Linked DNA regions of Saccharomyces cerevisiae S288C. The gene in region 2 interacts genetically with the main gene of each other region. Each region holds a gene or a part of one and is shown on either strand. Other genes may lie near its edges.

What was found.
Region 1: mutations in APM1 (region 2) and RDS1 together harm fitness more than expected from each alone (negative genetic interaction), as found in Saccharomyces cerevisiae (one large-scale study listed by BioGRID).

The regions. Positions count from the first base shown.
Region 1 is NC_001135.5:309,394-313,956, forward strand, and holds RDS1 (Rds1p), read left to right. Parts: upstream 1-1,564; coding exon 1,565-4,063; downstream 4,064-4,563. Other genes in the region: ADH7 (NADP-dependent alcohol dehydrogenase), read left to right, coding at 1-762; AAD3 (putative aryl-alcohol dehydrogenase), read left to right, coding at 4,497-4,563. UniProt on the Saccharomyces cerevisiae protein: Zinc cluster transcription factor involved in resistance to cycloheximide.
Region 2 is NC_001148.4:45,547-54,174, forward strand, and holds APM1 (Apm1p), read right to left. Parts: upstream 7,126-8,628; coding exon 5,698-7,125; downstream 1-5,697. Other genes in the region: KEL3 (Kel3p), read right to left, coding at 1-960; fumarase FUM1, read left to right, coding at 1,790-3,256; YPL261C (uncharacterized protein), read right to left, coding at 3,450-3,758; CUB1 (Cub1p), read left to right, coding at 3,757-5,412; THI21 (bifunctional hydroxymethylpyrimidine kinase/phosphomethylpyrimidine kinase), read right to left, coding at 7,952-8,628. UniProt on the Saccharomyces cerevisiae protein: Component of the adaptor complexes which link clathrin to receptors in coated vesicles. Clathrin-associated protein complexes are believed to interact with the cytoplasmic tails of membrane proteins, leading to their selection and concentration.

The DNA.
Region 1 (4,563 bases), on a different chromosome or scaffold from region 2:
GACAACGAGCAATACTGTACCAATGACCACGTTTTGACTATGTGGACTCCTTACAAGGACGGCTACATTTCACAAGGAGGCTTTGCCTCCCACGTGAGGCTTCATGAACACTTTGCTATTCAAATACCAGAAAATATTCCAAGTCCGCTAGCCGCTCCATTATTGTGTGGTGGTATTACAGTTTTCTCTCCACTACTAAGAAATGGCTGTGGTCCAGGTAAGAGGGTAGGTATTGTTGGCATCGGTGGTATTGGGCATATGGGGATTCTGTTGGCTAAAGCTATGGGAGCCGAGGTTTATGCGTTTTCGCGAGGCCACTCCAAGCGGGAGGATTCTATGAAACTCGGTGCTGATCACTATATTGCTATGTTGGAGGATAAAGGCTGGACAGAACAATACTCTAACGCTTTGGACCTTCTTGTCGTTTGCTCATCATCTTTGTCGAAAGTTAATTTTGACAGTATCGTTAAGATTATGAAGATTGGAGGCTCCATCGTTTCAATTGCTGCTCCTGAAGTTAATGAAAAGCTTGTTTTAAAACCGTTGGGCCTAATGGGAGTATCAATCTCAAGCAGTGCTATCGGATCTAGGAAGGAAATCGAACAACTATTGAAATTAGTTTCCGAAAAGAATGTCAAAATATGGGTGGAAAAACTTCCGATCAGCGAAGAAGGCGTCAGCCATGCCTTTACAAGGATGGAAAGCGGAGACGTCAAATACAGATTTACTTTGGTCGATTATGATAAGAAATTCCATAAATAGTCTATATACGTAATATTTTTCAGAATCTCTTAAAATGCATGTCAAATCTCGGAATTTATCATGACCCATTACATAACAAGAGAAAAGTGGTTTGCATTGTATGTATACCTTAAACCAATTCTTCGGTAGTCACATGACCTATATATAGGGACATTCATTTCTTGAATAGGATATTTCTTAAACTTAAGGGAAATTTTGATGAAAATTTAGAATCTCTCGACAACAGTGCAGAGCAGTAAGTTTTATTCAATACGAAATGTGTGCAGGGTTTTACCCATTCATGTCGAGTACGTCTACATTTGTTCTGCGATTTAACTTAATACTTAGCCTACTCATATGTATCGAAGCCAAACTATTAAATCTGAAAACTGAATACCCATTAAGTAGGTACATTAATGCAATTTTCGTCCGAAAGGTAGAGTGTTAATCATGCTTTTACTTCGAAATCTAGAGTCCGAGCATGTCTGATGAGGTCCTCTTAAAGCACTTCAATTTTAAAAGAGAAGAGCGCAAATTTTTACAAAGAATGCCTATATTAATATACTGTGCTATCTAAGAGGATGGTTCAATGGTTTGAAATGAGTTGAAAAATAAAGATTTACATAGTAGCGTGTATTCTTCACATTTTTGCATTCGGTAGATTTTCTACTCAAGACCCGTGCAGATCACTATTACACTCATTATTACAAGTCATTGAGAACGAAATTTTGACATCATTACTAATAATGTTACTCATTAATACTTTATTAATGTAAGCGGTAGATAAACAAATGAACATGAAATTGGCTGCTGAAATGCTCTGATGGATTCGATTACAGTAAAAAAACCTCGGTTAAGATTGGTTTGCCTGCAATGCAAAAAGATCAAACGGAAATGTGATAAACTGCGGCCTGCTTGCTCGCGATGCCAACAAAATTCATTACAGTGTGAATATGAAGAGAGAACAGATTTATCTGCCAATGTTGCAGCAAACGACTCTGATGGATTCAATTCCTCTCATAAGCTCAATTTCGAACAGCAACCTGTACTTGAAAGGACTGGGCTTAGATATTCCTTACAAGTGCCTGAAGGTGTCGTTAATGCTACGCTGTCGATATGGAACGCCGAAGATATGCTAGTTATAGTAGGATTAGTTACATTTCTGGATTATCCTTTTGCTGCGCATAGTCTGGCGCAACATGACCAGTATATCAGGGCACTTTGTGCTTCGTTGTACGGCATGGCGCTTGTTGACTTTAGCAATTATGCTAATGGTATTCCTTGTGAAGACACATCAAGAAGTATACTAGGACCATTGTCATTCATAGAAAAGGCCATTTTTAGACGGATAGAACATAGTAAGCAATTTCGAGTTCAGTCTGCCGCCTTAGGGTTATTATACAATGCATTTTCAATGGAAGAAGAAAACTTCTCGACTCTTCTACCGTCACTCATCGCTGAAGTGGAAGACGTGTTGATGCAAAAAAAAGACTGTGAAATACTTTTGAGGTGTTTCTATCAAAATATTTATCCCTTCTATCCTTTTATGGACATTTCACTCTTTGAGAGCGATCTCACTAGTTTGCTTTTACAAGACGACAATAATCGTTGGAAAATTAGTACTGAAGTTAAAAATGTGCGCAAAAAAATAGAAACTTTGTCATTACTTACAATAGTAATGGCCATGGCCTTGATGCATTCAAAATTGGATGCAAATCTTCTTTCAATGGTAAAAGAAAATGCCTCCGAAAGTGCCAGGAAACTTTCTCTTTTATGTCATAAACTATTATGCCTCCTGGATGTATTTCGCTATCCAAATGAGAACACTTTTACTTGCCTTTTATATTTCTACGTTTCAGAGCATTTAGATCCCGAGAGTCCCGATTGTGTACTGAGCCCCACTAACTTGCTTACTCTGCACCATCTTTTAAATTTGTCCATGACCTTAGGTCTTCAATATGAGCCTTCGAAGTACAAACGTTTCAAAGATCCAGAAGTGATAAGGCAGAGACGGATATTATGGTTAGGAGTTCAGTCATTACTTTTTCAAATTTCTCTTGCTGAAGGTGATGCTGGTAAATCAAATAGTGAATATATGGAGGCATATTTAACAGACTTCGAAGAATATATTGAAGCTTCCTCAGAGTATGAAAAAAGTTCTGCGAGTGAATCGAACGTGCAAATGAATGATATTGTTTGGAATAAGTACAAATTTCACGTCATTTTGAGTAAACTAATGTCTGATTGCACTTCAGTTATACAACATCCGCAGCTTTTCCACATTTTAGGAAATATTAAAAGATCTGAAGATTTTATGGCTGAGAACTTTCCTACAAGTTCGATTTACCAACCCCTTCATGAAAAGGAACCAAATGCGATCAAAGTTGGCAAAAGTACGGTTCTCGATGTCATGGATATTCAAAAAACTGAAATATTTCTTACAAATATTGTGGGAAGTATGTGTTTTTTAAACATTTTTGATGTCCTATCGTTACATTTTGAAAAAAAATGTGTTATGCACTGGGAAGAATATGAAAAGAACTATCATTTCCTTACTTTGAAAAGTTTCAATGCATACTTAAAGCTAGCAGGGTTGATATCTGATTATCTCGAGAATAAGTTTCAAGGGAACATTTTAGAGAGTCGCGGTTATATCATAGATAAACAAATATGTTTTATGCTTGTAAGGATCTGGATGTTCCAATGTCGTATTTTGTTAAGGTTTTCATACAAGCAAGAAAGTCAGAAAAAATTGGCCTCTTCCAGTATATCCACTAACGATAATGAAAAAGAAGATGAAATGATTGTCATTTTAGAAAGACTTATTAAACACATTCGTAACCAAATGGCACATTTAGTGGATCTAGCAAAGGGAAAACTTCAAGATAGTTACTTTGGTGCTTACCAAACTGTTCCCATGTTTAGATACGTTGTGTATTTGATCGATGTTGGCGGCTTAGTATCTGTGACAAATGGGTTTTGGGATAAGATTTCCAGTGATGGTGAAATACCGCCAAAAGTACAACAAGCCGTGAGATTGAAATGGGGATTGGACTGCAATAATTCGAGAAGAATCAAACAAAAGTTAATAAGCAGCCAGAGTTTGCAGAGTTTCAATCAAGTTCTGTTGTGCCAGATGGAGGATGCAGTTCTCTCCAGTTCCTTCGCAATAAAAGCCAATACCGCTATGTCCCAAAACACGGCTGAAGAATTTTTCAATATCAGCGAAGAAGAGGCTTTAAATCAACTATTGGAAAACAACAATTTTGATGCCTTCTGGGATTTATTAGGTGAAAATCTGAGCGATATGCCTTCTTTGTGAGAATACGGATATTTGGAAAGGCTAAAAAAAAAAAAACAAGCCAAAAACAAGAAACACTGTTATCCTCCACGTTTTTTCCACTGTTTTAAGACTCGACAAGACGGAAAGATTCCTCACATTTCGCAGTGTTTCTTTTAACCTGCTCGTCAATTTGAAAAAATGAGCATGGTTAGGCAGGCGGAATGTAATAGGTGCGGTGCGTATAAATAAGTATCTCGGCCGTTCCTCTATTGCGCTCGGCCGAGATGTCCTACATGCATAAAATAGATTAAAAAAAGGGATCACGATACTCAAATATGCATATAATAACAACAACACACTTTGCGGTAAATAGAAGGATAATATCGTAATCTTTTGCTGGTTTCGATGATGACTTGAAAAAATTCAATTACTCTTTCGATCATCTAGAAGAAGCATATCCATCGTGCTTAAAATGATTGGGTCCGCGTCCGACTCATCTAGCAAGTTAGGACGCCTCCGATTTCTTTCTGAAACTGCCG
Region 2 (8,628 bases):
CGAATACCCGACTCTTGGTGAGGGCTGGTTCTTGAAATTCTTTAATTTTTCCCACTGCCACTTCTTTGGATCAGGCGTTAAGTTCAGTTTCCATGCATCATTCAAGATTTTTCCCTTCATTAAATTTTTATTATTTTTGGCAATGATTTTACAGTAACCACCCATTAATATGGCAGAATTATCTGTAGGAATGAAACAATGACCCGATCTAGCGTCAGGTTTGCTGTTTGTCTCCAATTTGGTCCATTTGTAGGTTGAGATATCAAAACACCACAAATCATTTAGGTAAGAAGTTTGACCATTCCCCAAATCTCTAAATCCACCAAATAATATGAAATAGTTTTTCCAAGCAATAATTCTATGACCTGATCTGGCGCTGGGTGAAGAGTCTCTACCGCCAAACTCCAACTTAGTGAATTTCCTTTCAACGCAGTCAAACAGCCATGTATCAGAATAGTGGTAGAATTTAGATTGTTTTGGGGACGAAAATTCACCACCGTGTAACAGTGCTATTCCGGAAGGATGCACAGCGACAGCGGCACTGGATCTGGGCAAAGGTGCATTTTGCGAAACGTATTTTTTCCAAGAGTTGTTCTTTATGGAGTATGAATACAAATCATTATAGAAATGTGTTAGTTTGGTTTCTGGATCTGTAAATTCACCACCGAAAATGAACAATTCATGTTTATTGTGTTGCGGATTTGCAAACATCAACGGATGAGTACGACAAGAGGGTTTTTCCACAGAAGTGATGTCTACATGCTCTAATTCAATTTGCTTTTTGCTAAAGCTAGAGAGAATTTCATCGAGATCTTGATCACTTTCATCATCTTCTTCGCCGTTTAAAGACTTATTCTTGTTCTTCTGAAACTTTTTCTCCTGCTTTTTTTGGTTTTTCTGATTCTTCAGTTCAGCACGTGCCTTTTTGGCCTCTTTATCCTTCTTATTCTTCTTTGCCATTAATCACTTCTACGAGTCTAGTAGATCTCTTCTCCTTCCTATAAGTGGTTAATGTATTCTTCGAGAAGCTCATCATTTTTTTTTTTCATTTTTTTTTTTTTTTTCAGTTTTCTACAATTTCATCAAATCAATGGTTAAACCGGGCAGAAAAACTACCAAGCGTTACTTTTACTGATGTTAGTACTACTACCGCAGTTATTGCGACTACTACATTAACTATAACTATACAAGAAAAAAAGTAAAGAGGGCTCGTAAAGCAAAGCTTGGTATCTCCTACATAGTCAATACATAGTAGTGAGTCGCCTATAGCCATTCTGTAATGCCATTTGTTAAGACGTGTCCTTAAACCCTTCCGAATCGCCGCGGGCGACATCATAATGTCAGTACCTAATAATGGTTATTATTCGTACCCTGTGGTTAGAGAGCTATGGAAGCTAGCAGTAAATGTCTCTAGTTCTTGCTATCACTACCATATTGGAGAGGCTTCAGGCCCCTCCCCTGAGCCGATCCTCGGAATGACTACCCCGATTCCCGGAATGGGCGTTCGATGATTGGCTCTTTCCTGTAAAGCCTTTTTGCGTTTCTTATAGGCTATATATAATCTTCATCACTGTTGTAGACGTTAAACAAGCATCCAACAGGAGGCCGGACCGAACACACGGGGGAGTGACTCTAGCTCTTTCTTCTGGGATATTCATATCGTTTCTCCATTACATACAGTCATTTTTTTGCATTTTTAAATTCGTGACTTTTAGTACTGCAGCTGTTTTTTTTCTCACGTCAAGAAATTCCATAAAGTCTAACTATTAAACGGATAAGAGATACAATCATGTTGAGATTTACCAATTGTAGTTGCAAGACTTTCGTAAAATCGTCATATAAGCTTAATATAAGAAGAATGAACTCCTCGTTCAGAACTGAAACCGATGCATTTGGTGAGATACACGTGCCTGCTGATAAGTACTGGGGTGCCCAAACTCAAAGATCCTTTCAAAACTTCAAGATTGGTGGCGCTCGTGAAAGAATGCCATTGCCTTTGGTGCATGCATTTGGTGTTTTGAAGAAATCTGCCGCGATTGTGAATGAGTCTCTGGGGGGATTGGATCCCAAGATCTCCAAGGCTATTCAACAGGCCGCTGACGAAGTGGCTTCTGGTAAGCTAGACGACCACTTTCCATTGGTTGTTTTCCAAACGGGTTCCGGTACCCAGTCTAACATGAATGCTAATGAAGTTATTTCCAATCGTGCCATTGAGATCCTAGGAGGCAAGATTGGATCTAAACAAGTCCATCCAAACAATCATTGCAACCAATCTCAATCATCCAATGATACTTTCCCCACTGTCATGCATATCGCTGCCAGTTTGCAAATTCAAAACGAGTTGATACCTGAGTTGACCAATTTAAAGAACGCCCTTGAAGCCAAATCCAAGGAATTTGACCATATTGTGAAGATCGGTAGAACACACTTGCAAGATGCCACGCCTTTGACACTAGGTCAAGAGTTTTCCGGTTACGTGCAACAAGTTGAGAACGGTATCCAAAGAGTGGCACATTCTTTGAAAACATTGAGTTTCCTGGCACAAGGTGGTACTGCCGTTGGTACAGGGTTGAACACCAAGCCCGGATTCGATGTCAAGATAGCCGAGCAAATTTCCAAAGAAACTGGACTAAAGTTTCAAACCGCCCCTAATAAGTTCGAGGCTTTGGCTGCTCACGACGCCATTGTCGAATGTAGCGGTGCTCTAAACACCCTTGCTTGTTCTCTTTTCAAAATAGCGCAAGATATAAGATACTTAGGGTCCGGGCCACGTTGCGGCTACCATGAACTAATGCTGCCAGAGAATGAACCAGGTTCCTCAATCATGCCTGGTAAAGTTAACCCAACCCAAAACGAGGCATTGACTCAAGTGTGTGTGCAAGTCATGGGTAACAATGCAGCTATCACGTTTGCCGGCTCTCAAGGTCAATTCGAGTTAAATGTCTTCAAGCCAGTCATGATCGCCAATCTATTGAATTCGATCAGGTTAATTACTGATGCCGCATATTCATTTAGAGTGCACTGTGTTGAAGGTATCAAAGCCAATGAGCCTCGTATTCATGAGTTGTTGACTAAATCTTTAATGTTAGTCACCGCTTTGAACCCTAAGATCGGTTATGATGCCGCTTCCAAGGTCGCCAAGAATGCTCATAAGAAGGGCATTACCTTGAAGGAAAGTGCATTGGAATTGGGTGTATTGACTGAAAAGGAATTTGATGAATGGGTTGTTCCTGAACACATGCTAGGTCCTAAATAAACGAGCTAAATACCTAATAATATACAAGTTTTTTATGTCTTATTATATGAAGGAAAATAAGGAAGTGGAGAGAATTTGTGATTCAGCAATGGTCCCTCCGCTAAGGTCCCGCCTCTGGCCAGTTATGTCAGAAGAGGAGCATAGGCATACATTCCATTTTTGATGGCTTAATGGGGCCCATAAATTTACATCACTACATTATTATTCCTATACAAGTTATAATAAAATAGTTCATAAATGAATATTTTGCGTCATTTTTTAATTTCTTGTCGTCGGGTAAGGGACCTAGTATTACCCGCATCACGGAAAGGGGAATTTTCAGAAATGATAACGAATAAGAGAGTACACCAGAAGAGCAAATCTCTTTAAGAAGTTTAGCAGCAAATATCGGTTTAAAAACAAACAAAAGCAAAGGAAAAGAACTACTAAATCTTCGAGGACTTTCCCAATTTTTAAAACGCTGAAATTGTATTAGAAGAGAATAACTGTCTAAAAAGAGCATGTTTGCATCCGCTGGACAACAACACCCTCAAATTGTTCCTAAGGAAGAGGAATCCATATTAAACTACCTCCTTGAAGTGAGATCCTCCTTGGCTAAACTCAAGCAAAATAGGACCCAGTATTTGAACTCTAAGGATGTCCAAACTACTTACCAACACGTCTTGACCAAAGTCAGAGAGTTGGACGATATTAGGAAGAATAGTCATGAGACGCCCGCTAAGAGCGCCGCCACCCTGATTCATAGTACTGAATTGCATAATAGAGTTGACTCCGTACTGGATGATGTCTTTCAATTGCTCTCGTTGTGTTTTTTAACTGTTGGGCTAAAAAATTCTGCACCTGCGACTTATGCATCGTTATCTACTGTGGAGAGTCTTTTGGAACATTTAAATGAATCAAACGTCTTCACCCATCACGATTTGAGTCCTATTAAGGAAAGGCTGGAAGAAATCAGCAAGATTGTCGAACAAAAAAACTCTAGTCCTGCGTACGATGAGGATGGAAATGATGACCGATTAAGGGAAATCGACAACGAAAGGAAAAAGAATAAAATTGAGGAAGACCTATTACTACGTGCTAAATTAAAGCATTGCAAGGACGAATATGATATATTGGAAGGCAAATTGGAGGAAATTGATCCGTCTTTGTCTACTGTAATGGAAAAGTTATTCCGAATTAGAAGAGGTTTATTGTCATTAGTTGCATCTGCTAAAAAAACAATGTCTAAATCTGATATTAATACCAACTCTTTATTGCAGGAACAAAATGATTTGCAAACGAACAATGAAAGCTTAACGGATGACAAACATTTAGTATCTCAAGAGTATGTCCATGAGAAATTATCAGTTTTGAAGAACGAATTAAGTGAATTAGAATCTAATCGTGACGATTCTGGTAAATTCAAGTCCTTGGAGTCTCATCAGGTGGCAGAAAAAGGCCAAAGTGTCCTTAATGGTTTATTGGATGATTGCCATGATTTAGTTAACGATTTATCACACCAAAAAAATGGCGGGTTGACTTTAGATCCATATTTACAGCCAATATATGAACAGCTGATTGATATAAAGACTACCTTAGAAAATTTAATGATCACAAGAAGATGGACTTTGAGAGAAACCGATTTATTTTCTTACCAAAAAAAATTGAACGAAATTGATAACAAAAGAATCAATGGTAAGTTTCCAACAAAATCTCAGGACTCAAAGGGGCAATCAATACTTTTATACCTGTTGCGTAGATGTTATGCCATAATTTATAAACTGTTGGAAAGTTCAGAGCCCGTATCTGAAGCGTTGCAGCCAATTCACAATCAACTATCTACAGTTCGTCGTTGCCTATTAGAATTGAAAAGAATGGGAGGTGTGAATAATGAAAGAGAGTTATACCCTTATCAAATGAAATTGGCTTCATTGGACAACCTGAGAACTGAAGGTATATTCTATGACTCTGATGGCAATATACCTGAAGGCCAAGGTATATTGAATGCTTTATTAGCAGAATGTTTTGATATCTTGCATGAATTAAAAGTGGAAGCCGAGGAAAAAGCACAGAACTCTACTTCAAGTGATGGTTCTGACGACGATGACAACGGAGAATCAGGCATAGACTCGAACTCAAACGACAGCGAGCCTGAATCTGAATATCAACAGGAATAGAGGAGAGTGTTTCTTTATCTTCCATTTCTCCCTATTTTCTTGGTAGAGGAAAACATTATAAACAATAAAATGAAATACAGAAAGAAAAAAAGTTATTCTCTTATGTCTATGTATATAACAAACCCTGAATGAGCATCTATATAAAAACAAAAATATATAAACAACTTTATGTCATTATCATAATTGTCAATGGGAGGGGGGAGAAAAAGAGGAATAAGGACATACGTACCCTGTGTCTTTGTCCATGCACCGTAGAAATTGCTTTTTTTATATATTTTTCAGACATTACGTCAGCCTTATTGTATAATCATCACCACTTTGCGTGATATATCTTACCCATGGGTAACTCTTATACTGCAATTTGGGTTCGTTAATTTTAAGATAACGTACTTGAATACCTGAAGTAGTAAAGTAGGGTATTTGAAATTTGATTTGGACAGGTCCCTTCAAGATTTCCGCGTTACTTTTTGGCATTGTTCTATTGCCATCCTCGTTATTTGATATTGAAGGCAGTCCCAATTCGGCAGACATTGAGTACTCTTTACCACCGGGAAAACTTCTTATTTTCCATAAGATTGCACTTTTTTCAGGGACATACTTTAGAGACCCGTGTGAATATTTAAAAGTCGGTGTATCCGCGTCGTCCGGGACCGGTATCAATATCTCTACATTAGTTGCAGTAGATTTTCTTTTAATTTGGGCCTTGGCCTTACAGTGAATTTCAATTCTAGAATTCGAATGAACTTGAACGTTTACATCACACCAAATTAACGGTTTTATCGTAGTAGATAGTCTGTAGTTCATTAAATCGAACTTTCCATCAGGAGGTATAAACGTTATAATTTTTTCATTCTCGAATTTGCTTAATCGGACACATTGATGAAATTTCAAATCTTCCAATTCAATATTAACTTTCTTCTTGTTTGTGGCCGATGATGATGTTATTGATGGTTTTTTATCAGTTTCTGTGTTATTATCGGATGTTGTCGCGCTCGCTGATGGGATATTTGTATCATCATCCAAATATTTGGAGAAAATGCCTTTATCATTAATACCTAATTTCAGATCAGGCATACCAGACAATTTTGAGTTAACCTTAACATCGCCGATAATTTCTGATCTCAAAACTTGACCTTTTTGAGTCATGAGCATATTAATAGATTCGACGATATCCAGAAAGGCTTCATTTTTCTTGTGAGTGATGCCTTCTGGCCTCCAACTGACTGAATTTGTTAGTGCGACGGGTGGTCTAGTAGCATTCCTCTTCTTCTTGGCGGATTTAACTAGTTTGAAGGATTTTTGTGTTATGTACTGTTTCAGCATCTTAGTTTCTGTGATCTGTGGTATACCATAATCCATCACTTCGTCCAGTAATTCATATATTATAACAAAATTATCTCTAATAGATTCTTCTTCAACGGTTTTTAAGTAGTCACTTAATACCTCCACTAATTTGTGCAAAAAAGTAAAAATGGCAGCCGCATTGGCACTAAGAGAAGTCACAATTGCCACCACGTATAGATCGTTATGCTGTATAAATAGATATTCCAGACCATTGTGGTTCAAACATGGAGGAATCAGATTTGATTGTTCCTCTAAATCCGAGAGTAATATAGGGAATTTGTCAATTGCAGAAAGCGGAATATCATCTCTATACCTTCTTGATAGGAGTGGTTTCCCATTATGATCGCAAAAATACACTGCAGAAGCCATTCTGTGTCCCTCCAAGTTCGTAATTTACAATTTTCAAAAATACTCCTATATTTAATTGTACGACTTAGTTTCTCTATATGCTTTTTTTTGTTCAGCCCACTTTCCGTTTAACTCTTAATTTTTCATCGTCTAGCAATATTTCAATACGTTCAATTAACATCGCTATCAACGACTTTCAAAGACTATTATCATAATTAGAGATACCCTTTCTCGCTTAGTTGAAGTTACGTCTAATGATGGCTATAGTATATCGAGCGTATTTTATACCATTGAAATATCTTCATCTTTATTACATAACTATTATAGATCCATAGCAGTCCTATTGATAGTATGCAGTAATTTTAGCGCATAGAAAACGTTTATATTGGGTCGAATGCTCAATTATTTTCAGATGGAGGAATACCTTGAAGAAAATATATATATATAAAGACGCACTATTCAAATAATCATCAGTGCCAACATTAACTGTTTCCCTAAGATGCGTTCAGTTGTGATTCTTTTTTTTTTATGTCGCAACTGTCTGTCGTAGTTCTGTCAGCTAATGTTACGAGAATGTCCAACTGCAGTGTTAGGTTTCTGAAAGATGAGAAAGTTTCTGCCGGATAAGTTATCAACGAAATTATGGTGAATACTTGAGGTATGTGACTAGGATGGTAGCGCCGCTAGAACGCCAAAATCAGAACGAAGATTTTGGTTTCTGCCGAACAATTTTTACTATATTAATAAAAATGAAGGAACATTCTTAAATTATTGACACCTATTTTTGCATAATTCATTATTTCTACGTATAACTTTTTGTATATTTTGTAAAAATCGATGTGTCTATTCATTCATATTCTAGAGCGGCGGTCCAGAAGTTAGCTTCCAATTCACAAACTTCAGCATATATTGTGACCAGTGTATCAAGTTTTTCTGGAGGGTATGTTTCCAAGATGTGATTCAACAGCTTTTCGCCTTCAAGCATAGCTTCGTGGCACCATGACGATGAGTAAGTTTCACACCATTCACGGTAAACGGAGCCTTCTGCTGCAGTTACTTCATCCTTGATCTTGGTCAAAGCGTGAACATAGCCCATTAAGCAAGGATTAAGAGCTATAACTAACTCCTGCCAGTTACCTCTTCTGGAAACATCATTAAAGTAACGACAGTAAGCCCTTAATGCAGGACCTCTTTGAATCTTTTGTAAGTAGTCGGGATCCTTAATTCCAAATTCCTCCCTTAATCTCCTTTCATGTTGGCAAAGCCCATTACGAACGCATTCGACAATAACTAGCTCTTTCTCCAGGTCTTCAAGACACGGGGATTTACTACCCGCGATGCAGGAAATCCTGGCATAATTGACTAAGTACAGGTAATCTTGTTCGATAAAAAATTGGAACTTCTTAGGCTCTAAGGAACCGTCTGCTACTTTTCTAACAAAATCATGGTTCACATAGGAGTCCCAGTGGGGCTTAACTTTAGGGTGATTTATCAGATATTTATAGAAACTTCCTCCAGGGATTT